Linked DNA regions of Drosophila melanogaster. Changing the gene in region 2 together with the main gene of any one other region gives a genetic interaction. Each region holds a gene or a part of one and is shown on either strand. Other genes may lie near its edges.

Evidence for each region.
Region 1: of ems (region 2) and acj6, changing one suppresses a phenotype caused by changing the other (phenotypic suppression), as found in Drosophila melanogaster (one study listed by BioGRID).

Annotation. Positions count from the first base shown.
Region 1 is NC_004354.4:15,372,349-15,387,996, forward strand, and holds the start of acj6 (abnormal chemosensory jump 6), read right to left. Parts: upstream 6,717-15,648; 5' UTR 5,967-6,716; coding exon 5,841-5,966; intron 5,246-5,840; coding exon 5,213-5,245; intron 1-5,212. Other genes in the region: CG9164 (uncharacterized protein), read right to left, coding at 8,996-9,318, 9,454-9,822, 9,881-10,007, 10,198-10,332. UniProt on the Drosophila melanogaster protein: Modulates gene transcription; simultaneously generates both a specific activator and an inhibitor of gene transcription, capable of modulating two distinct regulatory programs during neural development. Has a role in olfactory behavior.
Region 2 is NT_033777.3:13,895,293-13,910,957, forward strand, and holds ems (empty spiracles), read left to right. Parts: upstream 1-6,560; 5' UTR 6,561-6,886; coding exon 6,887-8,021; intron 8,022-8,311; coding exon 8,312-8,661; 3' UTR 8,662-9,328; downstream 9,329-15,665. UniProt on the Drosophila melanogaster protein: Acts as a homeotic selector gene controlling antennal and mandibular segment identity.

The DNA.
Region 1 (15,648 bases), on a different chromosome or scaffold from region 2:
AACCTTAAAGCCTTTAACCAGCTGGCTTTCTATCGATTTTTTTTCGGCCATTCCCCACTAGCGGGTTTTTAAATAAATAATATCAAAAGTTTTTCGGTTCCCGTGCCCGATGGTTCATCTTCATGTCGCCGCCGTCGTCGTCGTCGTCTTTATTATTCCAGTCTTATCGATTTTATATTTTATATATAGATATATATATATATTTGTATATATACATAGACATGTATGTATGTGTATCTGTGCTATACATGTGCATGCAGCAAACTCCTTGTGTACACGAAACTCGCACGAATTTTTCAGTTAATCAATTATTTAGATGCGCACAAAACTTCAAAACGCCGCACGACGAAAACGAAAGACGACAACAAAGTTGGGGGTTTTCGCAGTGTGAATGAGACGGAACCCACATGGCCAAAAGCCAAAGGCATCGCTCACGTTTTGCGGCCCATTTTCAGGCGAAAGGCGTAATGCGAAGGACCAGCCAGTTACACAGAGAGAAAAAGGATCTCACACAAGTTACAAATGGAAATCGAAATAGTTTAAGGCCACTGTAAGCATTCTAGGACTAGATGAATTATACTCCGAATAAGAATTTCAAAGCGGCAAGGAGAATTAAATTCGCTAAGTTAAATTAAATTAAAAACCAGAAGTTTAATTAATATTACTTATATTTTAAAAGTTAACGGTTTTGAAGGATCTTTTTAAGTTCGTACTGCAACGTTGACACATAATTTTGTTACTCTGACATGCAATTCGAAAATAAAGTGTTGTGAAGTGCAATTTATAGCAGTGTAGTGCCGTCTCTGCACCCGTCTCCCTCACACCGCAGCCGGCTGTCTCCTTTTGGTCCACGAAGGACCGCAATAACCGGGCGGCGGCCATCGTAGAAATCAAAATGTTGTGCATTCCCAATGATGTCTTGGCCCATTCCTTGACCATCCAAACAGCCAGCCAGCCATCCGACCATGGTTGCTTACACTTGGTTAAAAAGGGGCGTCTTTGGAGAGGGGGCGTGGCACTTAGGGTGGCAGGGAGGTGGGAAGTGGGTGGTGGTGTGCAAATAATCCGACAGCGACAGTTTGTTTGCACTTGCAGGTGGACAGGGGCGCCAAAAAGGGGGTCGTGTTACCTTAATGGCCACATTTACACGTGCTCCCATTACAGGATGCCAAGGAAATGACAGACTTCTGGGGTCGAGACACAAAGGATCAGGGGAGAGCGAAAAAGAGAAAGTAGTTGGAATTGCACAGTAGCAATTATTTGTGCTAACTCGATTTTTCATCTGATATGCATGGCAAGTTTAAAAATGTCGCGACTAACAAAGTCTGTTCAAAAACATAAAAAGAATCATTTTAGAATTCAATTATGTCAGCTTACAGTTGTCAAAAATGTAGCTATTAAAGTTCTTTAAAATTTGTATTCATTAGTACATTTTTAAAGGGGATATATTTTTCAAAGGATTGTGCATATTCCATTTTAATAAATTGGAAGTTTTCGAGATATTTCCATTGGCTAGCTTTGAAACTAGGATTTGGATTTAGTATCATACCAACACATTTGAAGTTTTTTAGAACCACCTTTCATTGTATTAAATTTGTAGTTTAACTCTTTTAGTATATATGCACTAAATATTTATGACATTGTTTGGAAATTTCCTTCATTTTTCATGGCTCCCAAACCGAAATCCTTGTTTAAGCCCAGTCAGGACGAGGCAATCCGGAACGGAAAGCCCTCCTGACCAGAATTCGCAACAGTTTGTTGGCCAATAAATTTTGGCACCGCAACGCAGCAGTGAATTAATTTATGAATTAATATGCGCAGTCATTCATCAAATGGTGCTGTCTCTCTTGCCCCCTCATTTTAGCCACGACCTAGGCCAGGATCCTGGCCAACGGTGGAGCGAGGGAGAGGGAAGACGATGGCCAGGACACTGTCTTGACCTGCTCACACACACACATACACACACACACATATTCTAGCGTACACATGGAGAAAGGGGTGGGGTGTTCGCACTGCAGCCTGACACTTGCACATAAATTCTTTATTAGTGTGAAAAATTAATCAAGTGAACTGTTTTTTTCCCTTTCGTCCTTTCTCCCTCTCTGTCTCGCACTTGTTTGTTTGTCTCATTTTTCTCTGCACGTGTGTCTCGGTGTCTTTACGTGCATATATGTGTGTGTATGTGCGATGCATGGGTGTGTGTGTGTGTGTGGCTTATATAAATAATTTTTTGTTTGTTGTTGTTTATTTTTGTGGGAATTTAATATTCATGATGTGTGTAAATAGATACGCATTGCTGAATGCTTAATTTTATCGATTGCGCTGCAAAACAAACCGCCAAAAATACTGGAGCAATTAAATGCGTATGAATTTAGATACTTTAAAACCAGCAGCTTTTTTAATGGCAGTAAGAAAGTTTAAAGATTACATATATCTTAGTATATGAATGTGTATTAATAACGAATATCTTAATATTAACTATTTCTGATATCAGCAGAATTCTAATTATTTTAACAAAGCATGCAAATGTGCATGTTTAAAGTATAATAATCTACTAATAATATTCCTTTAGATTTTTCTTAACTTTTTGGAATTTATGCACTTTCAACTGTAGATAACTAATATGATATAAAAAAAAAATTATATTGATATTGAGCAGAAATATCATTCAAAGATTATAGATAGTTGAAAATCACTTTTTTCTTAGGTTTTCAAAGAACTGACTTACTTATAGTTTTCCACCCATTTTAGCCGAGCTGCTAATCCTTCGATTTCACATATTTTAACTAGAAAATTCCTGTGCTTCCGTATTCTTTACTCCCCGTTTGATTTCGCCAATAATTTGTCAATTGTTTTCCAGGTGGTTTCGTTTTAATGCCGCTGCCATTTAATGCAGTTTATGAATATTTAAATCAAATTAACGCCGCCGCTGTCCGTTTAGCGCGCCAGCCAAACAATTCAAGTTAAATGACAAATGCCCAAAGCTCCCCTCTCAATTTCCAAAACGAGAGATACAAAAAAAAAACCAAAAAAAAAAAAAAAACACCCGCCCCTGAAAAACACACTTCTCTGGTTCTTTTGGTTTATAAACTTCGGTCCAGGGGATCGGCGACAAATTTCCATTTAATGGACTGCAAGGCGTTAAGTGTTTTTGTAACCAGCTAAAAAGGTGCTTCTTCAGCCGCATGTGCCACCCTCCTTCCCCCCGGACGACGATATTCCCCCTGCCTTCTCACCGACTACTTAATGCCCAGCCAAGGGTAGCATATAAATCCTATAAATCCGCCGCTTTGATCATTCAACTTGCTCCGTTGGCAGCTTTTCAAAAAGCCGAAAAGTGGCTAACGGCCAGTTGAAGGGGCATGGGCTACAAATCCGATAAGCAAATGTAGTTGTTGTCCCTTAAAGAAGGAAATATACTTGAAGTGATTTCCTCGTTTTTTTTTTTTTTTTTTTGCCGTTTAAAGTGCTTCTGTGTCGGATTAATTTAAGGACTTGCCGCGCGGGGTTGCAAAATGGGGTGGGAAAAAAGTTATTCACCTGTTCGGGCGCAATCAACCTGCCTGTTTTTTTTTTTTTTCAAACTAATTTTCGAGCATTCTTTTTCGCATTTGCTTATGCACTTTTTATGCCCTAGCAATGGGTGGTATAACTTTGGTGGAAAACCCAGACACTTTTGCCTCCATAAATTGCCTGCCACTTAGTTTTTATTGGTGTTTTTCAAGTTTAATTGAAATGGAAGAGACGCCTTTTTTCAATTTTAAAATTTTCATATTTTTGTGAAGTAACTTTATTTCGGGGTTATTTGTATTGCTCACTTCGTACCTATTTTAATATTTAATTCATAAGATTGGTTCTGCTATAAATGCAATTAAAAAAGAATTGCTCTAAAATTGATAGGTAATAAAAATAAAATAATATATAATTGAATATATGGAATATATAGAATCTTATGTTAGCTTGCATCTTTCCATTTGTATCTTTCGCGATTATATATCCTTAATCTGTAAACTACGCATTCATCAACGATGCTATAACCATATACACTCAGTCGTGGTCGTTTATTTTTTGCTCGTCTTTGTTCTTCTACCCCGGGCTTTTACATTTTTTATTTGTCTAGCTGGTCAGCAGCGCATACAAATAGTTGGTAAATAATTAATGCAAATGAATTTCAAATCACTTTTCAAGGTTACTGCACAACCCTTCCGTTTGGGTTCGCCTCGTGGGCAACGAAGGACCCACAAAATCCGGGAAACATTCAGGCGACATTCACGGCGTAATTAAGACGAATGCTTTGCCGGAAATAATCGCGAACGGAAAATGGGAAGTGCACTACTTGCAGTTGGCATTTCCGTTTCCTGTTCTCTTTTCTTATTTTTCTTCGCTTTTCGCCTTTGCACCTGTAATCCTGGACAGCAGACTGGCATCAATAAACCTGTCTGAGAACTGTCAGTAATAACCATTTAATGTCTGCCCATGTTCCCATTCAATTTTTAACTCAAAGCTCATAAATGATTCAGCAGGACACTGGGAAACTCCGAGACGCCTGCCAAATACTCCGAATTATTCGTTATTAATGCATTCAGACGGGAAAAACACGGCATCCTCAAGCTCTATATATCGCTCAACGGAGTGTTGGAAGTTCGTTATTCCCTTTATTCATTCAGCTGCCAAATGCAAATGAAAGTATGAATGGAGTCCATATTTGCGGGTCACAGGAACACATACTGGTTCTTTTAAAATGTGCAACTTTTCCCTTTCTATGATATTTAAATGGCAAACGAAGGATCTAGCTCCTGTGAAAAGTATTTTGCATATCGGAAATAGGAACCGGATTATAAGGGATAACTTATAAATGGTAATACTTGGAAAATCTGTCCTTGTCATTTCAGAATAACAATGGTTTTATGTTGTAATCGTAGTCGGATATACGAAATACTTATCAGTGAAGTGAAACGTATTTAAATGTTGTATAAGTTGATATACATTTTGATCTCTGATTTTAGCTATAAGAACTCACTTTGAAAGCCAAGTTATTAAAATAAAAAGCATGTACATAAAGTGTTCCACTTTGATGTAGCTCATAGGCTATAGGATGACTTGAAGTTCTGTGATCGTAGAAGGGTTTTGATTACATCCCACAGCAAATTCAATTTGCTTTGCAATGACTCGGAGGAACTCAAATGAAATCGTACTAATGTGAAAATCATACCTCGAGAGAATCGCAGGATGATGAGATGTGAATCTGTAGAAGGAAGGATATTCTGTGGTATAGTAAGTATCTTCTATGTTGTCAATATATACTTATTTAAGTGCTTAACGTCTTTAAATTACGCTTGTGTGTTCATAAAAAGCCCAATTATATTTACAATATGTGAGCAAATTAATAGAGTTAGGGCATCCTAAGATGGCATCATTTATGAATAGTAAAAACGTATTTATAGAGGTTGTATCTGCATAATAAATATAAAAACATATGATTTAATTTTATTATTAATGAGTTTTAGGATCTGGAAAAGAGGGAAATTGATACAGACTTTCTACAAAATATAATATTTAAAGCATGGACTCATAGCCTTAAACTACATACTAATATTCTCATTGAGATTCAATCCCAAGAATATGAAAGTTTGTAGTTTCCGATAATTTAGGGTAACTCATAGTGAAACCAATTAGATTTGCCAATAAGATCAAGAGAAGTCAAAACTGGACAGAAATTATCCTGAGAATTAAAGGATGCGCCCCCAAAACATTCTTGGGCTCCTATGCATCACATCGATGGAATCGAATGGATTGGTGGTTGGGTGAGGTTCTCCCGGCAAGTGCCGATGGATACTTACAGATGGATTTGGCATGCAGCGACGCATTTGCTCCGAACTTCGATAGGAGGGACTGTAGCGTCCTGGAAAACAACTGGGCGCTGACATTTTCATTTTATCCGTCGTCGAATACATCGACATTGTCATGCAGCCGCCGACGAAATCCTCCTCCAGCTTGAACGCCCTGGAGGCGTCGAAAGTGGTTGGCGAGTAAATTTTGAAGCACTTACTGGGACAGCCTTAGCACGTGTCCTGCATGCAGGACATCAACAAATATCAAATGCACTGGGCCCGCTCAACTGTGCCCTAAACTATATTTCTTTCTACTTATATATTGGCTTTGATTCTTCGATCGATCGTATGCACTGCACTTGTATTTATTCTCTTGGCCCGTTGGCTAGTTCATCAAATTGAATGGGTATTTTTTTTTTTTTGTGAAACGCGACAGAACTGAGAAAAAAATCACAGTAAAAAAATGTTGCCCAAGTAGTTACCGAATGCCGTCGGTTGATTATTTGTAATTTTCTTCTCTATTTCTTATTTATTTTTTGCTTGGCTTTTGGACTGCTAATCGAATTACGCGCACTCGAAACGGGTTAAACGGTTTGGCGTCGGCGTTCAAACTGTTTACCGTTTGCGAAGCGGAGCTGTTGGCCCGCGTTTTATACCGACTTCCGTTTCCTGTTTCTTGGACTTGCAATTTGATTGCGTGATATTACTCTGCTTCTGCTTCTGTACCGCTCGACCGTACCGCCGCGCTAAATGGGCATATATGTGTGTGTATTTATTTTTGCAGACGCCTTCAACAAACTATTTTTTCGAAATTTTCAAAAACGCCAGCGCACAGGACACAGGACACAGATTTCACAACTAGACAAGCGCGCGTGGTGTTGTGATAAAGAATTCTATGATGAGTTTCGCTAACTTCAGAGTTTATTTTCAATGGGGCGGACGACATGTTTTCATTATTTATCAGCGTGGGCGTGTCCTGCCCGCTGCCTCAAAATGGCAGCCGAATTCCTTATATAACGCCAGCGCGTGCCCTTTGATTGGTTGCCCGATGGGAGCGGGCAGCGCAGCCGGCGCCTTCGTTCAGCTGGAATTGGGCAGCAGTCGGTGTGTCTCTACCCGGCGAGTCCTTCCAAACTTGACGAAGCCAATGCCAGCGTCAGTGGTGCGACGTCTGCGCACTGCCACATTGGCTACCGCTGGGTGAGAGTGGGTGGTGGTAGTGGGCCGAACTGGGTAGCACCACCCCCTTAAGAGCCGGAGCCCTGGAAAAGCCGAGCATCGCAATGTCCAGCATATGGCACAAATTCTTTTTCCTCCACATTTCTGCCTCTCTATTTTCTCTCTCTCTTTTTCTGATTTTCAAAGGGGAGCCGGTGGGGGGCGGTGGCCGGTGGCCGGTGGGTGGTTTTCGGTGGGTGGCTTTCGCTGAGCCTCAACAAAAGGCACAAAACGCCAACGCGGCGGCGGACCAACAATGCCAAAACAGAAATGGGCGTACATGTCAGTGGGACTGATGGAGCAGGCGAGGGGAAAGGTATAGAGGGAGGAGGGGGAGGAGGTAGTTGGTTGGCGCAGGAGGAGGTGGGTCAGGGATAGCCAGCAGGTGGGTCAGTTCCGAAATGGGGGAGTGGCGATTCGAAGGCCTAGTTGTTGCAGTGCAACTGTTAAAAGCATGCAGCATGGCAAATCAGCTACAGGGTGTCCCGATCGCAACGCCAGGCTTACAGGGTGCCACCTTTAGAACCTACCTATTTATAAAATAAAAGACAGTTTTTAATATTTTAACTTTATCGCCCAAGATGAAGGCAACGCACATAGTCTAAGCCAAACCGCTAAACAAAACCCATTTATTATAAGTTTTATCTGGTTAAACATAAAAAATATACAATTTTATTATAATAATATGTTAAATTAGTTTAAAAATAATTGGTTTAATTAAACATTTATTTATTATTTGATAAGCATATTTCGAAGTAGAATCAATTAATGTTGTACACATTTTAAAACACACCAAACAAATTTATTAGGTTTTTTCAGACTTGTGCTTTATATTATTTAAGAAATTAAGATGCCAAGGAGTAAGTAAATAAAATATTTAATTATATTTTTCTATTTATTGATTTTATATTATTGTTTCTTTTAAAATTAGTTTAGTTATTGCTTCGTTTTTCAATCAAAATTTCGTCCTCCTGGCGCCATCTGTGGGTCATTCTTAATTGTTAAACGCGAACACTGAAAGGATTTTACGTATCCTTGCAGCTTATAAAAGCTTTTAAGGACTCTACGCGAAAAGCTTATAAAAGAAGACAAGGAGATGAAAGTTCAAAAAATATATAATTCAAGTTTTTTTATATTTCAAAACTTTTCCAAATGCAGCCAGGACACACGAAAAGCTATTTAAAGCCCATTTAAAATCCAACCCAGAAAATGACAAACTTAAATTTTTGGTTTTTTTTTTTAAATCCACTTCATTGTTTCTCATTCGATTTGTTTGGTTTGGTTTTCGTTTTTGTACAATTATCTAATAGGCTCCGTTGTTAATATTTCACAAGTTATTGTAGAGTCGTGTATAAAACTTTTTACAAGGATATTCTAATATGGGACCTCAACGTGACCAAAGGATAAGTTGCGGATGAGTTGAGCTTTGGTGAGCGATGAAGCACAACATGGCCTATAATGAATTTCATAAATTCGATCAGGAATCATAATACCTTGTTGTATAGCCTATACCAAATACGTACACACGAGTACGTACATATATCAACCTAAAGTTATGCGTCTCTATAAAATACCATATCTAATGTTTGAACATAACAAATTTGAACTAATGCGCCAAGCGAGCAGCAAACGATTGGGAACGATCTGGTTGGAAAAACGGGACTACATGCTGGGGCATTACTACCTATGTATGTATGTATGTATGTATGTGTTTGCTGACCCCCAGTGAGATCTATGGTCCTACGAGTCGTGATGATTTTGGGGATGATTTGAATACTCGGTTGCAATTCCTTTTGCTTTGTGCCTCGTTGTCGTTGCAATTGTGCTTTTCAGTTTTTCTCTGCTTTCAATTAGTTCCTTTTGGTGGTACGAATTCGATATCCCTTCTCGTTGCCCATAGTTCTTATAGATAAATGTAGATATAGATAGATAATCCTATGCATATTCTACGGCTCCTGACGCCCCAGCAATCCGTACACGATGCGCCGTCGATTCTGCACCTCCGCTCTCATGGATTCCGTATAGGGATCGAAAGATAACAGACGTTTCTTCCGCCGGAAGATGCCCTCCTTCCGCATAATGGCGCACCGCATCAGTTGCTCGTTGATGGGGAACTGCAGGAAGTCCAGAATGGAGCGCAGCTCCCGCTCCGTATGGTGGACCAGGTCGTCGTAGAACACCACCTTGATGCTGCCCGTGAAGTTGCGCGCCCAGCTGAGGTTCATCATCTCCCAGCCCTTGAGCTTGTTGCTCACGAATTGCTGCCAGTCTGTAATGAAAACCAAAGCAGTTAGCAATATATTAAAGCTCTCAGTCGCAAAGCCTAACAATAATAATAAGCCGAACAATGCATAACTGTCTTAATTGGACTTAATTGGTTTGTGCCCCCATATGCAAAACATACATTTTCCCTTGGTGCGCTTGTAGCGATCCGGTGATGCGAATCCGATGTGACCGCCACTCTGGCGATTGAACTCCGCGATGATCGCTTTCTCCGGATCGCGGACGAGAAGAATTGCTTTCGAGAAGGGCGCCCACGCTTTGCTGCCCCACTCGTGGGTCTTCACCAATAATACTGAACTGTTGCAGACGTTCTCCGCCGGAAAGCCGGTCTTCAGCAGGCCGTAGTCCTTGTAGATGCTGCCCGTCAGGATGCCGGTGGCCTGCTGGAGCAAGTACCTTAGCCACGTGTTACCGCTGCCAGGAAAACTGGCCAGGGCGGTCAACGCTGGCAGCGATTGCAGGGCAGCACTGACGTCACTGGGCAGGGCCGCTAAAGATGGTTACAGAATGGTTACAGAAAGGTCAAACTTCAGTGGGTCAGCACTCACTGTAGAAGTCGGACTTGTAATCCGCGTAGATTGGAAGATCTCGATTTATGTACTTGAGGTCGCGACACCAGCGTATCGTCATCTTGCGGCTGGGCATCGGAAACCGAGGACTATGAAAGCTGGGAAACTGTGAATACAAATTGAAAGAAATGTTACATTAAATGGGTATAAACATACATATTTCATCCCTCGCATCCTGCGACCGGAGTGCGTGCTATTTTTGTACATTTCGTTCCTTGGAATGTCACATGTCAGTCGGAAAATTGCCAAGCGGAAAATGGGAAAGCTGTCAGCTTGTTGTGCCACTCGTGACTCACCTCGGCGAAACGTTCGATGCGCGGTCTTTTGGGATGCGATCCGGGTATGTTGTTCATGGAGAGGAACAGGACGCCGCCGATGTAGATGATGATGGTTGCCGAGACACCGAAAAAGCGCCAGCCTTGTAGTGCCATATCGCCGTCTTTGCATTACTGAAATTGGGATTACCATCGGGCTTATTATTAGCTGCGGATTGCCGCTGGCATCGTTGAGCGTTGCTCGTTTATGTAAAAATAATTCAAATGAACATGTTCGCATTAATGAAGCCAATTATCTGTGTATTTTGGCCAGGAACAGGAGCGACAAGGAAGCGTGGAATTAATTTTTTTTTTCTTTCTTTTCTGTTTATTTTGTTATGACAACGAAACAAAAAACAGCAGACCAGGTGGCGGGGCGGTGCGGTGCGGCTAGCAGAAGCCGCTTGGCTAACATGACTGACTTGGCCGAAATGGGACCATTTGCCCACCTTCCCCGCCCAGAATGGAATCGGTAACCCCGACAACTCGCAAGTCCGTCAGTCAGACAGTTGGCGGCGGAAATGGGGCGCACTTCAGTTTGGGTTGCAAATGAAAATTGCGAAAAGAAAAGCCACCAAAAGGCAAGTTATTCCAGACCAGCGTAGCACAAGAATAGCGTACTCTCATTTAATTTTTGGGGTCGTCCTCGAATGATTGATAACTTGTCATTCGCGTTGATAAAGGTCTTCGATGACTAAACACCAATCATCATCATTCAGTCCAAAATCATTAGGCGTGTAGCTCTTCATCCAATATTAAAATTAGGAAAATATCAGATTACTATAGAATTGTTACTATTAATATTTCTAGACCTCTATTTAGTACTTATAAATAATGCATTAGGATGGCAAGTACCCTTTTAGACAATGATAAGAGATAATCTAGACCTGTTGAGATAAGAACCGACTTATTCTGCACAAAGCCTTAAATACCCCTTCAAAAAAAGGGCATTCGAGGGGGGGAATGAGAATAAGAGAATAAAAGCCTTGTCATGCCTTCAACGGAATTCCTTGAGCTGCATAAAACGCTCACGAAATCCGCAAAAGGACACCCCATCACACACACACACATGTTAGGCCCACATACGCACACACACACACACACACACAAACACATGTGAAAGACAAGCAGCTAAATGCGAAAATTTATGCAACAGCTGGGCAAAAAGGCGGCGAGGGGTGTTCGAAGGATACTCGTCCTTGGCCAAACGGATCCTTGAGCCACCGATAAACTCTGCCCCATCGGATGCCGGCGGAAAAGCCGCTGTATGATGATATAAGACATACGGCTCTCCACCCCGGAAGAGTGCGGAAGTCCAACGAACACCAGCGAACAGCCCCGGAACTTCTCGAGCCACCCAACCCTCTTCGAGGAAATCGCGGTGCTGAATGGTGGTGGGCCAAAAACTAGTTCAGCGCTGAAACAAGACGCAAACAAAAACAAAACCCAAGGCGGAAAAAAGGAGAGCGGCATAAAAAATAGGAAAGCTGAACGTGCACTGCGAGAAATTAGCGAGAGTGTAATTTCCATAGATTTTTCTGGCTAGCGCTTATGTACAAGTGATCAGGAATAGCTAATATAAGAAACAAAAAATTAGCTAGCTAATATGTTATTAATCATATATAATAGGTTTTATGTAGTTTTAGAACTACCATTCAGTTTTTATCACAAAATATGCAATGAGTTTGATGATTTTGATGATTTTATATTTTTTTCAGTGCATGCTAGAGACTATATAATGAAATGGCTCGGCGGCCGCAAAAGGGAAATAGAGAGATATCATAAAAAATGAGCACCACCAGCTTCGCGGCACCGATGTGCGGCGGTCAGAAGGGGTTGGCTGGCAATAATTTGATTGTTTTGCGGCATAAATCAGACAAAAGCCAAGCACATTAGCGCAGCCAACATAATGGGAGGAAATACAAAAAAAAAAAAAGGAAAAAACCCAGAGAACCCAAAACTCGGAAACAACGTTGGCATCGCAGGTGGAATCGGTGGCCCAGCCCACAGGTTTACATAATGCTTGCAAGAGCGGTTACCGAGCCCCCAAACGAATGTGGAAGGGGCAGTTCACCCAATGAATATGCATTTTGATTGCTAGACCAAAGCCAAACAAATGTGCAGAATAATCAAAAATAAACACAGCAATGGGGCAATGTGCGATGAAACAATGCATGCGATCAAATAAACAATGTTCTTGCGGCGAAAGAAATCGAATCGCTTATAGTACATTTCGCATATTTCTCATTTTTCAGAACCATTCGTTTGAATGTAAACAAATCATTTGCTGCGTTTGCTCAACAAATGTATAAATGTACATACATATGTATATGTAAGTTGTACTCACCGATACCGATTCCGGATCCTTGTCCCCCCTTTTACGCCGCTCACAACCACCCACCAACCGACCAACCGAACAGCGACAAACACGCCCAGAATTCGCAGCTACATGTCAAGCGAGAAATTCGCAATCACAATCGCAATTCAGGGAACTGCTGATAAGAATGGGGCAATCACAAGGCTCCAATTCGCGGCGATTCACTGTTTAAAAACGGCAAGAACACATTGGATACTAACAATAACACACACGCACACTTGCGCACACACTGGCAACAAAAAAAAAAATCACTGTGAAAAAAATAAACAAATCCGGTGGCAGGCAGCAGCAGCAGCAACAACAATCGCCAACACAGGGCCAAACAAACAAAAAACGGCAGCAAAACAAATGTGAACTATTTATTTGTGCCACTCGGCCCACACGTCGTATGCGCAATGCTTGGGTTCGCACTCGTTGGGTGTTGTGCGCTGTGTGCTCCGTGTGCTCCGTGTGTCCGAGAATTTCTGTTCGGCTCGGAGGAAGTGGAATCCACACGGTACAACCAGCAGCAGCAGAAGCAGCAGCGGTAGCAGCAGCAGAAGAAGAAGCGGCATCAGCATCGCACTGGGGGATGATTGAAAGCTTTTTTTATTGGATGGCGTTGCCACTGAAGCGGAAAAGCTCCAATAGTAACCCCTTTTTTTCAGCAGCTGGGCATGATTTGGGGTCTTTTTGAGGGCTCTGCGCCGGCGCCGATCTCAAATGAAGTTTCCAGAAATGCTCAGTAGGTGGCCATTGCCACAGTAACCCCCTTGAGGCAATATTTATTGATTAAATTTGCATTTATCGATTATGATGTATCGTATTTGAAAGAGGCTATTTGATTCTTGTATTACAATAAGCTAATATTCTTTTAAAATATAACCAAACAGCTGGGCAACACCTAAGCGGCTTTTTAACTTTGCGCAGGCGCCTATCTCTTTCATAGTTTCCATAAGTGCCCAATAGGTGGCTGATGATAGAGTTACCCATATAAAGTAAGCTTTATTGATTATATTTGCATTAGTCGTTAGCAATTGAAATGTTTTAAAATAAACTAAATATTATAATAGTTTTGAATACCGCCCATCCAAATAAAATTATTCCGTAGTTTTTTTACATTTTCTTCTTTTATTCAAATAAGTTCTGCTTGCCTCGATTTCTCATTCATATTTCACCTTGCCTGCTGGGGGGTTTAGCTTCACTTGCATCGGTTTTTCGTGGTTTCATTTAGTGTTCGAATTTGGGATTCGTGTTATTTTGCAGCAACATCATACCTTGTGGTGAGTAAAAGCTGATATGATGTAGATTTGGCACACTACAAAGTAACTCGCAACCGAAGGCAAGTTTGTTGTCATATTCGTTTGTATTCACTTTTATTTGCGCTTCTTTAACATGTGCTAATTTCTCTGTTTGTTTTCATTTTTGCTTTGGTTTAGTTCTCATTTAGTTTAGTTTAAATTATTTTTTGCGTATAATTTCACTATAAGTACATTTTCTTTAGTATTCGGTCAACATTGCGAAATTAGCAATTAGGAGGAAAAAAAATGTATTTATACATTTATATTGGAATTTACTCTAGACTCGTGGGACTTATTATGCGCTACCTTAAACTAATGTACAAAAATATCGGTAACTTAAATACGAGCAATTTAAAATTTAAAATCAACAACGACAACAATTCGCGGTATTCAATGCAATATAGTACAATACAGAGTAGGTCAAAATCGGTCATCTGGCATATCTTCAGTTAAAAACAATCGATTAAAAATGATCCATATACATAATTGACTCACAGAGTTTTTCGTTGACTGACAACAATTGAACCGAGAGTGAGTGGTACGTAAGAAATCAGTTAGACATACTTGTATATATAAAGATTTTTATATATATATATATCGGGAATGGGGCCTATATAATGGGTGCCTGGCTAAGGGTATATCGATGATTATATGATGACTACCTTCTGGTCAATAACACTCTCCTGTTTTAGGCAATATTATCATTAACTTTGCTAGGATTTCCTATTGTGTTTACACGTTTATATAAAAAAGAGACAAAAAAAAAAGACATTTTGTGGTCCCTGGCGTATGTAATTCAATTTAAATGGCTCTCCTCGTTGGCATTCAATCGTGGCCTCCTCAACAAATGAACCCAATAGACGACTAAATTAAAATCTTATAGAGTTACTCCTGCTCTATCTTCCGGCTGTGTTGTTTTGAATTACATAAGTGTTGTGCTTGTCGTTTTGTCTTATTACATTTAGTTGGACTGCTTAGCTGGCTGTGACCCATTAAAGTTTTGCTTTTTGTGTACTTTTTTTGGTTTTGTTTGCTTTGGTTTTCTTTGTTTTGAACCCACTTGAGAATTCCTTGTTCCTTGAATTTCAGGTTTTTTATGTTGCTGTGGACTAGTTTTGGAGAAATACTTTTCAGTTAAAAGGGGAATGCTTATTCCCAAGAAATGCTGTCGAGCTTAAATAATAATCGGTACTTATCGATGTTTTTGAAGAAAGTCATCGATAAATATCGCTTACTTATTAAAATGTACATCAATTTGTATGTGTTCTTACCACGAAAGGTGCGAACACTCATTCAAGATATTCAAACAGATATAGTATCTAATATTTAAGTTTGACTTTTATCATTTTAAGTGTGTGGGTGTGTTTGTCTTGTGTTTGTGTGTGTCGGTTAGTGCGCTTAGAACAGTACGATAGTTATCGATAGCCGAAGTAGCCAGAGCGATAGTAAGTGGCTTGAGTACAGCTTAACATCCTTTTTGTGTGGCTAGTTGAAACTACGAAACTCTAGAGTTGGGTGTCTAACTTTTCTCTACGGACTCTACCGTCTGATTAGTGAGTGCGTCTAGGGCCTGGCTAGTAACTGTCTTTAGTAAAGCGATTAGTTCAGAGCAAGAATAGAAATCAAAAATGAAAAAGCAACAATCAACAATCGTGTTTCCTGCCTACATTGTCTTGAGATACATTTTTGTTTTCGGCGGCGGCGGTTCGACAGACTCGATTCGGTTTCGACATAGATCTTGAACTGCACTAAACTACTTAAGTGCTAGAGTTGCCT
Region 2 (15,665 bases):
TTTGCAGTTGTTTGGGATTAGCTTTGCGCAAGGGATCTAATTAAAGACATTGTGATTTGGCCATTTCTTGGTATTTCGTAAATTTTATAGATATAGACAAACCAGAAATAAACTCGAGCACCAAACTTGAGCATTTTTCCATTTTAAATATTTAAATAAATTTAAATCATATAATTCAGCATTGTGTCTGTCGCACATTTTAGCTTTGTTTGCCATACAGTTTTCTTATTAATTGGCAACCCCTTACCCAAGTCCATTAAAAACTAACCCCGTTTCCAGTAGAATTTCCCACCCTTTTATTCTTTTTTTTTCGCGATGCACTTGAATGCTGTGCGTGCACTTAATCAAAACACAAATCCTTTTAATTTAACACGCGCGCGTTTGCATTCGCGCCTGCCATAATCCTTCCAGTCAGTCAGTCGGCCATTTTCGCGATTTCATGAGCTACCGAACGGGGTGTGGGGTGCGGAAAACGGGAGGCTGGGGGTTGAAGCACCACCCCTTAAGTGCTGGCAGACGCTCGCGGGACAAACACAAAGTGGCGGCATTATTTGTCGCAATCAAATGCTGATGATGTGCCTTGATTATGCGCAGCAAATGTCTGTGAAAAATGACACAGACGACAAACAATGAGTCCCGAATTCGGGGTGGGTTTACCCAGTTGCAAGGGGAAGTTCTGGAAGTACCAAAGACTGGTGGTGGTGGCAACAAGCTCTCGAAAACGTGCCAGGCGACATTGTCGCAGCATGAAGGCGAATATTATTTAAATGGCATATAATAATGGCAGACTCCGGCTGCAGAACGGAGTTCCGTAATGATGCGGCTCGGAAAGTCTCCATTGCGTTTGGCAAGCTCCGTAATGTACGTATAATAATCGCAGTTGCCCCGCCGACAGCTGGCAGTCAGTCGAATCCAATCAGGATGCGCCACCGAGCCGCAGCTTATTATGGCAGCCCATCTAGGACGATATCGCAATCAGCCGGCGCTTATGGCAATTCATTTGTTTAACGACCAACGCTCATGGCCCAGACTCTTGGTAACTGGGTTCCCAGTGGGAAAAGGGACTGGGAAAAACGGCGACACAATCTCATCACAATTATGGGACGTTGGGAGGGGAATGGCCTCAAAGCAAGCACAAACATTTCAATGTTATGAGAACCGCATTCGTTAAAAAATAGATCAATTATAATATGAATATGATGTTCCAAGTCTCTAACAACCATTGGTAATATAACTAAATCGATAGCAATCATATACCTTATATCTACCTTACTTCATTTTCTAGATACTTCAATAAATTGAAGGTCTAAGATCATATTATCGATTTACTAGCACATTTAAGATACGAAGCAAAAATGTAGAACACTCTGATAGCTAGACAACTTAGAGTCATGGCCAATTAATTTATTTTAATTTATGGTGCACATCCGCAAAATGAACTTACCCCCTCGGCATCCACTTTGCTAAAGCACAACTCACAAATCAACCCTCGTTATCTCTCCTTTCTTCAGCTAATTTCGCTTTTATTAGGTTTGGCAATTTGTAGCTGAATTTTCGGAGGGCAGGCAGTCCGGGGATGCTGAATGAATGGCATGCTTTTTGGAGGAAGGAAATCTGGGATATACATTTCATTTTCCTCCTTACATTTGATATTCGCCCAACTGCCGGAGGAAGAATCGCGAACGAAATGAGGCGCAATTTACAGAGCTCGTTGCGTGTAAATTGAGTCATCTGCCAGGACACCCCGCCAAGTTCTCCATGTAGGTACATCCAACCCCTCTCCAGGACAACCCCTGCCAATTGCCAATTGCCATCTACCATTTCCCATTTCCCACTCCCCAGATCCATAACCATTTCCTATTTTTTTTTTTTGTTGGCTTTCGCTTGGCAGCGACATTTTCGAGTAACATGCACAAATTTATTTCATTTGTTGTTCCCAAACCCTCCCTTTCCCTTTCCCTCAATTTCCCTCTCGATCCCTACTTCGCCAGTCAGTCGACCATGTCCGCATATCCTATCCCTACGTATATGCCATTGCTCCCTTTCCGCTTTTCACTCCGCTCTTTTGGAAAATTTAAATTTTTATGAAATTTTCGTTTTTTGGCTTTCATGCTTTTCTACAAATTTACACATTTGTTGGAATTTTTTATTGGCTGTCATCATTAGTTTCGATATGGCCAGGGGTTGGGGGGGCTATTCAACTGCTGGTGGAGTCGACAAGTGTGGGCGTGTAATTTATAAAGTGTTTGCCAGGGGGAAAATTTCGGGGGAGTATATTTATGTTTTCGCTGTGTGCGGAGAGGGGCAAAGATCTGCGATAAGGACGAGAAGAGTAATTGGTTTGGCCATCATTTTGATGGGTGGGGAGGCATATGTGTGATGTGGATGGCGAGGTGTTGAATGCCAAGAGGGCGGTACTTGCTCAAAAGGTCTCTGGGGGTTACTCAAGCGGTTATAAGATGATCCGGGGGATTTTGTATTCGTTTAGCTGGTGCCACGGAATTCGAGCTCGGAATCTACTTAGCTCGGGAGAAATTAACGATAAAGATGATAATGTGTCTTGGTAGAATTTTTATGGGTATTTAGACCATAGAAAATATATATTAATCAGTTTAGATATTTACAATGCACTATCATCATACATATAGTTCTAGGTGTGTATACTATCTTGGGAACATACACGTTGGTAAATAGTTTGTTGCATTTTCTCCACTATCTATAACAACTAAATCTCAAGACCTCACTGTACAAAGGTCCTTGTATCGTTTTGATCTAATCGTACCATGTCGCCTGCTCATAAATCCCGCTCGACCATCCGGATCTGGGCAAAACGATAATGACACACGAACAAAAGTGCCTGTCAGCCAAAATATTACCAAAACGAAAGTGTCAACCAGCCAGGTCAAAGGAGGAGGGCCATCACGAGCAGGGGAGTGGGGGGTACGTGGGGCAGCGCCGGTAAAAAGTCATAAACATTACGTTGATTTTATTTCGGCAACTACCATATTTTTTATGCCCGCAAAAGGATTGTCTGGTTGTCCTTCTGCTGGCCATGCTCGAATGCCCGTTACGGAAAGTGTCATAAAAATGCCTCGAATTTGGAATGGTTTTCCACTATTTTCCACTGTTTTGCACACACGTACTAAGCGGAGGCGATACAGTGTGAGAAATAAGTGTAAGTACAATCACAGTACATAAATCAAAAGAGTTCTTTTGTTTATACGAATATAAAATATAAAACTGTTCTAATTTTAACCAAGTATTCTTGAAATATTCTCTTAATGCCTATTGCATTTTTCCCAGTGCATAGTTTTGGGGCTGCGGGAATTTCAAGGAGAAATCAGACATTTTTATGACATTTCCCTGACTACTGTTTATTCGCTTTCTCCACGCCGCCCGCCCTTTCTTATTTTTCTCGAGCACTTTTCCGACATTTTAAACATTTCTTTTTCGCCGCTGGCACTTGGCCCTTGTCAGATTTTCCCTGCGCTGCATCGTGTCGTTTGTGTATTTTTTATGATTGTCAAGGATTAGATATAAATGTTTTATGATCTTGGCCCGCTACCGCGGTGCTGGACCAGAAATTGTGTTTTAATATGATTTTACGGCTTTGTGGTAACTCGAAATACGTCCAGCTTGATTGGCTCCGATATGTCGTGCCTGAAATTCCAAATGATCCGATCCTTCGGTCTGATGCACCCTTTTCTGGGCTATTCTCTCCAAATGGGATTTGGGCTCCTCTGGAATTCGTTTTCCTGGAAAACGCCAGGCTCATCACTGTACAGTTGTTTGATGTTCTTAGGGCTGACACGCCCCCCTGCCCCCGAAAACGTCGGTCAGTTGCTACCAAGTCAAATTTTCCCATTCCCTACAAGAAAAACGCGTGAAAATGTGGCCACAAAATTCGATGCCGATCCATCATAATTTCTTGGGTCGCGTGGATTTACAAGCGCCCAAATTATCGGCAGATCGTTTTGGGTAAAATATGAAAATAACGCAGAGCTGTGAAATCGATCGATGGTATTCTTGGAAAAGCAGTTAGCGATGGCGCTTGTCCCTCAATCGAGTTGCCAGAAATTAATTACATTTAAACGCTTCGCTCCCCCATCGAGTTTTCCCCGAGTTTGTGCCAATAACACAAAGTATATATATTGGAAAAACCGAGAAAATGGGTCTGAAAACACACTCGATTCAAATGAATCCAAAACGCACACTCTAAACGCCAACTCATCATCATTAAAGTCAATTTTTCTCGTCTTCTGTTGCCTTGTTTTGTTGCTACTCAACAATTTCTGGCCATCGAATCGAACAAAGGAAAATTTGCCACGTTTTCCATTGTTTTCCCAGCGAGATAAACAGAAAAAAAAACAAAATCGACGAAAAGACAAAAAGTGAAACTGCTGTTTTTTTTTTTCTCCATCCAATTTTCAGCTGAACTGGCATCGGGAATTGGACTGGCATACTGTAGATTTATTTTCTGGATGGAGGGAGGTTCGAATAGGTGAAATTGCATCACGCTGTGCCTCGGTTTCTGTGGAATTGTTTGCAGGCTGAAAATTGTTGATTTTGACACCTTTCGGGCTGCTGCATTGTGTTCCTCTTTATTTCCATCTAATAAATGCATTTGTGCCCTTTGTTGGCTGCATTTTTTACGGTTTTCATTCCTTTTTGCGAACTCTGGCGGGGGGTCATCAACTGCCGAGTCCTCCAGTTGGCCACTTGACTGCCGCTGGTCCTGCGGCCAGAGGATATCTTTATTCGCTCATTAGCAGCACGATTGTGCTGGCTGCAGGTCCTTCGAGTCCTGGAGCTCCTGCGGTGAGGTACTCAGCTCAGTGGGCGTGTGAAATTACCGAAAATACAAGGTAAATTGCGTTTTCTTTCAACTCAATTATGCTTGATTCGTCGAAATGTTGGCCGTCTGATTGCAAGGATTCTTCTAACCACAATTGATTAAATAGATATCAGAGTATTACTTCTAAATATTTATTTAATTTAATATTTTTGATATTTATATTTAATATTTATCATTTCGACCAATACTTTTTTTACTTATAATGAAGCTTTCACAAAATCAAAACTAAAGCTCAGATGCCGAGTTTCAAATCGAATTAGCTACACACACGTTTTGCAGATTAGACCGCAAATGAAACCGACTCAGCTAAAAATCGCTGAACTTTCGACAGCATTTCGCCTTGTAATCAAAATCCATTAGTCAACATAATTACGCTTTAATGGACTCGAAAGTTGTTTATGCCTTGCGTCGATTCGAACCGAAAGCTATGGGTAAATATGCGTGGCTTAATTAGCGGCCATAAAAATTTGATAGATTTTAATCTATCGCACAAGCTGTTGTTGTGCTCTCGCCGATTCCTAGCCCATTAATCTCAGAAATCCGGCGACGAATTTGACGGCTCCGGCTGATAACAGAGTGTGAAAATAGCACTACCGAATATTATTCCATTGTTTTTGAAAAACTCTTGGGGTTTGATAGGAAATGTTATAGTGTTGACCGAGGAAACGAAGTGAGACATTTGGCACGTCCCGACAATTGATGAACCTGCTCTGATTTTGATTTGGAACTGCGATTCGGACACTACATAAATTATGCAAACTTTGTCGTGTGCCAAAAAAAAAATGTAATGCCTGAAAATTAACATTTAAATCGTAGCGAAAAATAAACCCGGTAGCACATTTCATAAAACTGTCCCGATCAAGTTTCGTAGATGATTTATGGAAACAGCAAGTTTGAAGTGCATCCGTGGTGTGGAATTGCTAATGTGGACTGGATTGTCAGCTGTACGAAAACCGGGACGTTTTAAAATAGGGAAAGTTAATATATAATATCATAAATTAAATAAGTATTTTAAATTATAAATTTTACGCCATGTTGTTGAATGGGGTTTACGAACTTTAAAAACACCATTAACAAAATACTTATATTCCTTAATCTTTAGTTTTATGCAGAAATATATAAAGAGCGTCTAACAAATCCTTGCTAAACTATAAATTTGCACAACAAAAATCCCCCTGAGCAAGGGAAATATTTAAAACGCACATCCTCTGTAAGCCTCGAAAACCCTTTTCGAACTTCCTGCAAATTTGGCCAGAGTCCGCAAACAGAGACATTTTGCCCACCTGGCATTAGATTTCCATTTAGCGCTCGTTCCGGCCCAGAAATGCAACCGCAAAAACAAGAACTATGAATGGCAGTTTAAGCCAAATTACACAAAGGCCAAGAGCAACAACAAAGTCGTATAGTGGTGGCTGTTTGAACGGAAGCCATATGCAGAAAATTCGGTAAAGGCAGCGCACCGAACTGGACCCGCCCCTCGAAAAGCAGCCATTTCACTCGCTCCTTCGCAGCTAGGCCATATCTGCAGGGTAGATAAAATCCACAAGGCGCGCGCAAAGAAGACGGCCATACTACACCGAGCACAGTGCCTCCCGCTCTGGCCCGATAAACTGGTTTGGCCTGTACTGGCGAAGAGAGAAGACTCGCCGCAGCTCAGCTCTCTTCGAGTAGCGCACACTTGGTGGTGTTGCCGGGCTTACCGGATTTATTCAGACATCGAACGTCGTCGAGAGCACACGTCTATATTCTCCGTCTTCCGACACAAAAAATAAGAAAAACGAGCGCGTCGATCGCCGTAGAGCACAAGTCTTGACAACCCGAGTGTGTGTGTGATTAATAAAGTAACTAAACGTATATATGAAAGCGTTTCCAATGCGTCGCTTAGTGTGAGAAAATCAACGAAACATAGAGAGTTACAAATAAGGACTTCCCAGAGGATTAGACAAACAGAACAGATTAGATTAAACAGAAAACCGTGCTTAAACCCTCGAAAAAAAAGCCGCCAACATAGCCGAACTAACCGCCGTATTTATGACTAAGATGATTCCGCCGGTTCCCACCGCCGCTGCAGCCGTCATGATGCCCACACCAAAGCAGAAGATCGGTTTCAGCATCGAGTCCATTGTGGGCAATGATGTCAGCACCGCCGGCGGCAATTCGACGCCCGATCTATCCGGTCCCCAGAGTCCGCCGCCCGGCGAGCGCAATGTGCCCGGTTCGCCGCCCCAAACGCCACCAGCCACACTCACCTTGATCCCAGGCTCGCCCCCGCACCATCTGATGGCTCCTCCTGCCCACGGACTGCCCTATCCGCATCCGCATGCTCAGCAGCAGCATTTGCAGGCACCACATCCGCATCCGCATCTATCGCCTGCGCAGCAACATGTGCTCCACCAGCACCTCCTCATGCAGCAGCAACATCCGGGCACACCCAAGAGCCACCAGGACATTCAGGAGCTGCTGCAGAGGCTGCACCACAATGCCGCCATGGCCAGCGGCCTGAGTCCGCTGCAGACACGCCTCTCCCCCGAAACGGAGCAGCCCCAGATGGCCGTCTCCCTCAAGCGGGAACGCTCACCTGCACCACCTGCCATGGAGCAGGCCGAGAATCCCGCCCAGCGCATCCAGCCACCGCACACGCCTCCCAAATCCGTGAGCCCCCAGTCCTCGCAGCCCTCGTCTTCGCCCACTCTGCTGATCAGCAGTCCACATGCCACACCGCCACAGCAGCAACAGCAGCAGCCGCCCCCGAATTATCCAAAGCCCGCCATGATGCATCCCGGAGGAGCTGGACCCATGATGATGCCGGGCATGCCGCCCGCTGGACTCGTTCGCCCCTTTCCCATGGGACCCGGAGGACCACCGATGCCGCAGGGTCAGCCCGGCTTGCCGGACATCAAGGCGCTGCCGCCCTACATCAACGCTCCGCCGGAGCTGCCGCCTCAGCACAATCCGCATCTCATTGCCGCTGCCCAGTTCCAGATGGCCGCCGCCCTGCAAGCGGGTCATGTGCTTGGTCCAGCGGCCGCCGCCGCTGCTGCCGCCGGCCTGCCGCCCCATGCCGCCCAGTTTATGCCCAATCCAGGCATGGCCAGGGATAGCTATCAGCTGTACCCCTGGCTGCTCAGCCGCCATGGAAGGATCTTCCCACACCGATTCCCTGGAAGTAAGTATCTTTTGGAATGATTCTTTATATGCGAAACAAAAAAAGGAGATTTAGGGAAAAAAATAGTTCTTGGAGTCCAAATTGAAGCCAAAAAATGAGAAATTTCTTTAAAGTAATAATTCTAAACCTTCATAAATGTAATAAGAAATGAAAGATGCTAATATGTTTTAAATTAGTTTTGATGAGTCTCTTATAATTGCATTATATTGTCATTGCTAATTTATTGCTGTGAGTTATGATCTTAAATACCGATGACTAACCGAAACCCTTTCTTCTTTGCCTCTTTCAAGGTTTCCTGGTGCCCCCGTTCCGCAAACCGAAACGCATCCGCACCGCCTTCTCGCCGTCGCAGCTGCTGAAGCTGGAGCACGCCTTTGAGAGCAACCAGTACGTAGTGGGGGCAGAGAGAAAGGCCCTGGCCCAAAACCTCAATCTGTCCGAGACGCAGGTGAAGGTGTGGTTCCAGAACCGACGCACCAAGCACAAGCGGATGCAGCAGGAGGATGAGAAGGGCGGCGAGGGAGGATCGCAGCGGAATATGCACAACGGCAGCGGCGACGAGGACGACGACGAACTGATCGACATGGAGATGGACGAGTGTCCCAGCGATGAGGAGCACGAGCTGGACGCCAGCCACTGAGAGAAGCGGCCAGGAGATAGTCCTGCGGCGGTCCGTGAGTTCCTTATCCTGGCGAATGCAGTCCAGTTCCAGTTATCGAGGGTTCCCAGTCGAATCTCGGCGAGAGTAACATAGTTTGTTTTGTTGTGATATATTCTTAGAGCGATCCCAAGGCGTTAGGCTAAGTGTATATAGATAGGAAAGTATTAGAGACCCTTTCTCTCCATCCACACTTCTCTCTCAAGATCCGTGCCAAATCCTTGCGAAGTTTCGAGGTTGAGTAGAGCTCAAAGAATGCAAGTTGTTTCCTTTCTTTCCCAAATATCAAATGCAAAAAAAGAAACACTGAAAAAATAAACCTAGGCTAGACACCACCAACTATAACTGTACAAATTTTATGACTTAAGCCTGTAAATATTCATGACATTACTTTTAATTAGTGAATTCTTCAAAACAAATCGTACTCGATCCACTAGCTATTGTATAATTCTTGTATATTGTATGACGATCTAGCATTTATTTATGTTTAGTCTTAAGCACGAACCTCTAGAGTCCCTCAACTGCAGCTGGATATTATTTAAAGCCGTCTAATATAAAGCCCTAGTTGCTAGTAACTACATCCTAAGCTAATACGATTGTAAGAAACACAAACGAATATGATCATATAAAATATAAAATATTCATTATGAAAAGAAATCGAAAGAGAAATGTTTGATTGATTTATGTGTTGGGGGCAACCACTTATTATCCAGAATACTAGATAATTTATTTATAATTTAAACAATATTGGTATGTTTTGAGTTATGGGTGTGAACTTTAACTTCTCATTCAGCTTTATTACTTTCCTTCAACAATATTTTACTTTAGTTTATTTTTTCTTGTTTAAGCCTTGGCATCTCCGCCCCTTTTTAATTGAGTTCGTCCCACTGTGTGACAGAGTAAAAAATTATGCGCCGTCAATTAATTAGCGTGTGACATTTAACATTGTTGTTGCTGTTTCTGTCCACTGGAAATGGTGACAGGTGCGCTGGAAAAGGGGATTGAGGGGGTGCGGCCGCGACTGAAAAGAGCGGGATAGCTGAAGGAGGCGGCTATAAAATGCATTTAGCGATCGTTATTTCTTATAGATTTCATAAGCATTTTAATTGCACAATTTAAAATGCAAATCGTGTTTTATTGTAGAATTTAATTGAGCGCAGTTCGTGTGAGATCAAAGGGGCGGGGGTGGATGCTGAACGGGGGCTTTTGGGGGTTGGGGTGGCTTTGGAAACTGGTTAACAAGCCACTCGAGGTGTGCTAATGATCTAAAAGCCAAATTTATGATTATTGAACCACAAATTTATGCGAAAACTGTGGCGGTATATAAGCGCAGTTTTCATTATCGCCAAATCGGCTATCAGCTAACTGAAATCGGCTATCGAATGTGGCCTAATGAATATGCAGTGGCTAATTGCAATGGGCAAACTGCAAACTAGATTGGTCCGGCTGATATGGCTAATTAACGGACATAACGAGTCTAATTACTAGCTGTTAACAGCACTAAATTGTGGCACTCTGTCAAAGGTCCCCCCCCTTCAGTATTGAAATCAGGGGGGGTTTTTGGGGGAACCTATCTATTGCAAACACAAAGCTTACAATTGCAATAGTCGTAAATCAGAGTGGGCAAATTATATGTTTCATCGGTGATCGAAATCGCGGCTTTAGCCATAAACCTTTCAGCTAATGGCAAGTCTTGTTTGCTTAGCAAACACGCACCTTTGATGGAAACTTCGAGATTCCAATTCAAGATTCAAGATACACGGCCCATCGCGAGCGGGAACTGTAATTAATAATGGGGCTGGGGCACGCCCCCTGCATATGGGATTGGGGGCTTATCTGCTGGCCTCCTTTATCCAATATCACTCTTCAAATGTTTCTGTAGAACAAAACACACACTGGCGCAAAGGGACGGAGAGAAAACGAAAGCCGAAATCGGAATGAAATCCCTTGCTGATAATTCTCGGAAATTAAAACACAATTTGGTAAGTTGTTGGCTGTTGATGATGTTATACATATATCGAGCATACATATGTTTGTACAACTTGTTTTGCCTCGTGGCTTCGCTTTTGTTGTTGTTGATTTTCGAATGCCTCAAAAGGTTTGTTATGCGGCGCGCCCCAAAAAAAGAGATATAGTAATAATAATGCCAACAACAACGCCGCATTCACTTTATGGCCAGCACCACGCACCACAACTGGCTGCCCGTTGTTATTGTTACTTATCCCATAAAGTTTATTAAGTAATCCAATTTGGCTAAATTAGCTGTGTCTCGTCTCGAAGTTATTTCGGATTTTAATTGAGTTGCGGCTTGAGTTTGAGTTTCTCTTTGCCTACCCTCCCATCTCCATTCATTGCTCATTATTGCCTGTTGGATTTCACCGATCGCTGATCGATCGCCGGCATAATGCAAATTGTCAAGCCAAGATCGAGACCCCAACCCCAACCAGAACCCCTTGGCCCCTTAATGGCCATCCTTTGGAGTGCAGGGCTCAAGATCGGGACGTGCCATATCTCGGTGTTCTGTTTAATGTGTGTTTCCTGGAAGATTAATACGGCGAAATTAAGGAAAATAAATAAATGTCAGCGCTGTACAAGATCGTTATCGCATTTAACAATAATTACCCTGATATGGGATATGCTAACTAATCTGTTAAGCCCGCTCATTCCGGCCAAGGATCGTTCCGAGATGCGTTGCGATGTGCTGGCCAGGCCAACAGGTTTTTGGCCCCAAACGAAACGACTGTTTAGTGCTTTCCGTTGTCGCCCGAAACACCAGACATCATCGAAGGTGTCGCCGGCCGCTTGTTGTGTTAAATTAAGTAATTAATTTTAAAGTCCATGTTCGGTCCGTTTGTCTAACGAAAGACTTAGGCGACGAACTTTTTGGGGCCGCCACGCTTGTTAACCCCACTTCCGTCATTCACTTTTGCCTCGGAGTCTTGCGACTCGATCTTGATCTCGATCGGCCGACTTCAATTGCTTGTAATTTACAGAACGATTGTTCTCATTCCTCGGCGGGCACTTCCTGCGGTTCGGCTAGATTGGCATCACTTTTCCATACCCTCGACATTTTGTTTGTCGTAATAATAATTCGTAAGCGTTTTAATTGAATGATCCGACGGTGGGCGTCTCCCGCTCCTTAACCACACAAGATATATAAGATATACACTCCAGATCCGCTGTGTCATTGCCAACTGCTCGACATGTCCCGGGGTAAACAGAATAAACATTTGACTCGAATTTGGGCCCTCAAGTGCTTAATTAAGAGCCGCAACAACGTCTCGTTTTGGCTCTTGTTTATTTAACAATTTTCTGCGGCCAGGGTCCAATATTTTGATGTTTTCTAATTGCCTCAATTATGCTTCGCTCTCCGGGTGTTTTTTTTGACTGTTAGATCACGGATTTCTGGCGCCAGACGCCGTCTCTTTCATATGCAAAGTGCCTTACCGATCAAATATCGAATGCTTTAATTTGGTATATCAAAGAGAGACATTATGCTGCTGCTGCCAATCTCAGACTCCCTGCCCCCTCCCCCAGATCGTAAAAGCGTCAAATTTCTCAATTCTCGGTTGCCCATTACCAATTCCCGATTTCGTGGCCAACTCCATGGGGCGTCCTAATTGTTGATATGCATCTCGGTTTCTCTGCCACTCAGTTATTGGGTTCGTCGAGAGTCGCTTAATATTATTTGGTGAGTTTTATGTTTTATTTCGAATTAGCCGCATAAATATGCACTCTTTATGACAACCTGATGTCTGTTGTTACTGTTTTATGCTCGCTGAGCTGGAGCGCCCACGCTGCGTATGATTGTTGGCATTTCAATGATCGATACAGTGGTTTAAATTGGTCAGAAGGGAACTGAGAATTATAGTTTTTAATAATATTAGAATTTGTTTCTTATAATATTTATTAAATTGAATATATTTCCAGTTCAAGCGTTTTGTAATTGTTATACATTATATTTAGTTTAGTATCAACCCACTGTGCCGCGATTGACCATCGAAATAAATGCCATTCCACGCTGCCCGCAGTGCAATGCATTATTCAAGCGCTGGAGAAAATCCCGCCTTGGACATTTAGCTGGTTAAACAATCAATTAGTGACGACCGCAACTGAATCGCTGATGCCGTTATTGAATTATACTCGAAGCTATCAGGGGGCCACATACAAATGTGTATGTTCGTAGGACCCATGGCACCGCTCCTCCCCAAAAGGTATAACCCCGCCCTGACAGGCCAACAAATGCTCGGATTGCGTGCCAGCCTCAAGTTGGTCTGGCTAATTATGGGTTTGCCATTTGGGGCCTGCATATGGGTTCTAGTTCTACACCATGTGGCTCAATGTAAGGTATACATGGCTTTGTAGTATAGTGTAGCTTATCGGAGTGCTCGGTGGTCCGGGCCAATGAGGCGTCATCTAATATATTGCAATTACAAGCGGCAATTAGTCAATTTACCGGACTCGAACACGAAACGCTTTTCGTATAATTAAAAGCCAATTAGAATATTTATTATGAAAATTGCCCAACAAATGTGCATAATTGAAGCGATGTGAATTCGTTTAAATTACAGACCGCTCCAGCGATTTCCATCTAGTTGGCAGCCATGAGAACCTCCCAATGGGGAATCTACTGTCCGATATGCCCCCATCCAGTTAGTGGTTTTCTATAATTGAATCAGGTACTTCCTGCGAAGCAATTACTGCCACGGGAAGCGTATTATAGGTTTAGTTTCGATGATTAAGTGCACTGATCTTATTAGCAGCTTTTTTAGGTAAACAAAAACATTAACACGCCCTGTAATTGTTGGCTTCATTATTTTCAGACCAATTTTTATAAGCAACTGTGACATAAGACTTAAGCAGCTATTTGTACGTACACATTTATCAATTCAAAACAAAACCTAAACTTGTATTATTTTTCTGATATCTGATTATTCTAATAATTTACCTTCTTCTTCATAATATACACATTGCCTTCTGCAGTTAATAATCCACCTGTGCTAAAGAGACTTTAATGCATAGACAGGTAATTCGTCACTTAGTTGGCTACTGGCAGTGAATCGAAACACCCACACTCGGAGCTTCATCTATTCACACTTTTGGGGGTTAGGTCAGGTCTGTCGTATGCCCAAATATTAATGAATTAACATTTGTCACACACACGCAAACAGACGATGAAAATATTGAAAAATTATGCAGCCAAGGCAATCAAACAATTAAATATAAATTTGTGGTATTCACGCCCCGAATCGAGGAAAGAAGCAGAACGAACCCACAAAAAAGTATCGAACAAAACAAATGAGTGCGTCCCTGATGTTGATGACGATGTTGATGTCCGTCGTCCGATGTTTGATGGCATTCCAGTCGAGCTGCTGTTGCGGCTGAAAATTCAAATTCGTTGGAAAATAATATTGTCAGCATAATGCCCGTAGATTATTGGATAGTGAGCTGAGCACACCCAAAACGATTCCCAATACAATTTTGACAGCGTATTTCGTAATAAAGTGGAAAATTCATTGAAATCGAAGTCAGGCAGCAACGGCAAGTGCATTTCAATTAGATGTACCTCTTGGGGACCAGGTTCTATTACCATTTCTAATTAATCAGACGCAGAGGGTGAGGGAGTGCTGCTTTATTTTGACATTTTCCACGGATATTAGATTAACATCGTTTTAAAATCAAATTAAAACATTAGACAAGGCCCACCCCTGGCAAACAGGATTGTCTAGGGTTCGTTTCGGGTTCTCGGCGCTGGGTTCCCTCTTTTTCTTGGCCACTTGGCTTCTATTTATCACCGTAACGGCAACTGCTGTTTTTGTTTTGCCTAGCGTAATTTAGATAACAGGTATGGCCAGCATAAGGTCCTTATTGACAAGTGGCATTTTCCGGGAAACGCTCTAAACGCCAAATGCAGCGTGGAAGGAAAACCTCATTCGATTGCCCTGGACATTTCAACAGGGGTCGCACAATACCCAGTCCAACTGGTCAGCCAAGTGTTGGTCGATCCTTTTTGCCTTTCTTCTTCTTTTTTTTTTTGTGGACTGGCCAACCTAAAACAGTTGTCAGTTGGAATCCCTTGTCGTGATGTCAATGAAGATAATGCCAGGCGATTTAACCTGCTGTGCGTGGGCGTAAGTATAGATGCATCTCAACTTCTTTTGGTGTTTGCTCTTTTTAATTGGAAATTAAACAAATGCCCGGGGTCGAGACTCATTGTTCGTCCTACGATTTTGCGTGATTTCGGACCGGACGGGGGGCACTTGAGACCAGCAATTGTTGTGGTCCTTGGACCGATTGTTCCGTTGATTTCTTTACGAGCAGAAGAACCGTTAGCACAGATAGTTGTTGCCATTGTTGCGGGCTAGTGACTCTATGATCCTTTGGTCCTTTTTATGGTGGGAACATTGAGAATCAGCCAAGAGATCAATCTAATTACCGAGAAATGTAAGGGATAATGATCCAGAAAAGATAGAAATATTTACTGAGTGAAGAACATAATTATTTCTATGGGAGGATACAAAAAGTCATAAAATTAACAAGCATATTAAGTGTACAAACAAGAGCTGCAGAAAAAACGCGGCAAAAAGATTAAATGATTACACAAAGATGGATACTGGATTTAATCAAATAATATATTAAACATGAAATGATATTCAGGCAATTTTCAAAGTATATATATCATTTAAACTATAATACACCTTTAAAGGTACGAAGCTCTTATATTTCCAAATCCACCTGAGCAAACAGCTGAAAATACCCAACTTTGGCACAATATTCCAAGATAGTACATCTTTGTACACCCCCGCTGCATAATCGGGCCATAAACATTTCATATTCGTTTGTTTCACTCGGCAAGCAGCAAGTTCGTTGCCTAAGTCTTTTGTTTTAGTCCCCCTGCATTCCCTTTTCAGAGTCGATTGTTATAAACAGTTGCCTGCCAAAACACGGCATTTATGCCAGCCCGGGGCTTCCGTTGAAATGTTAGT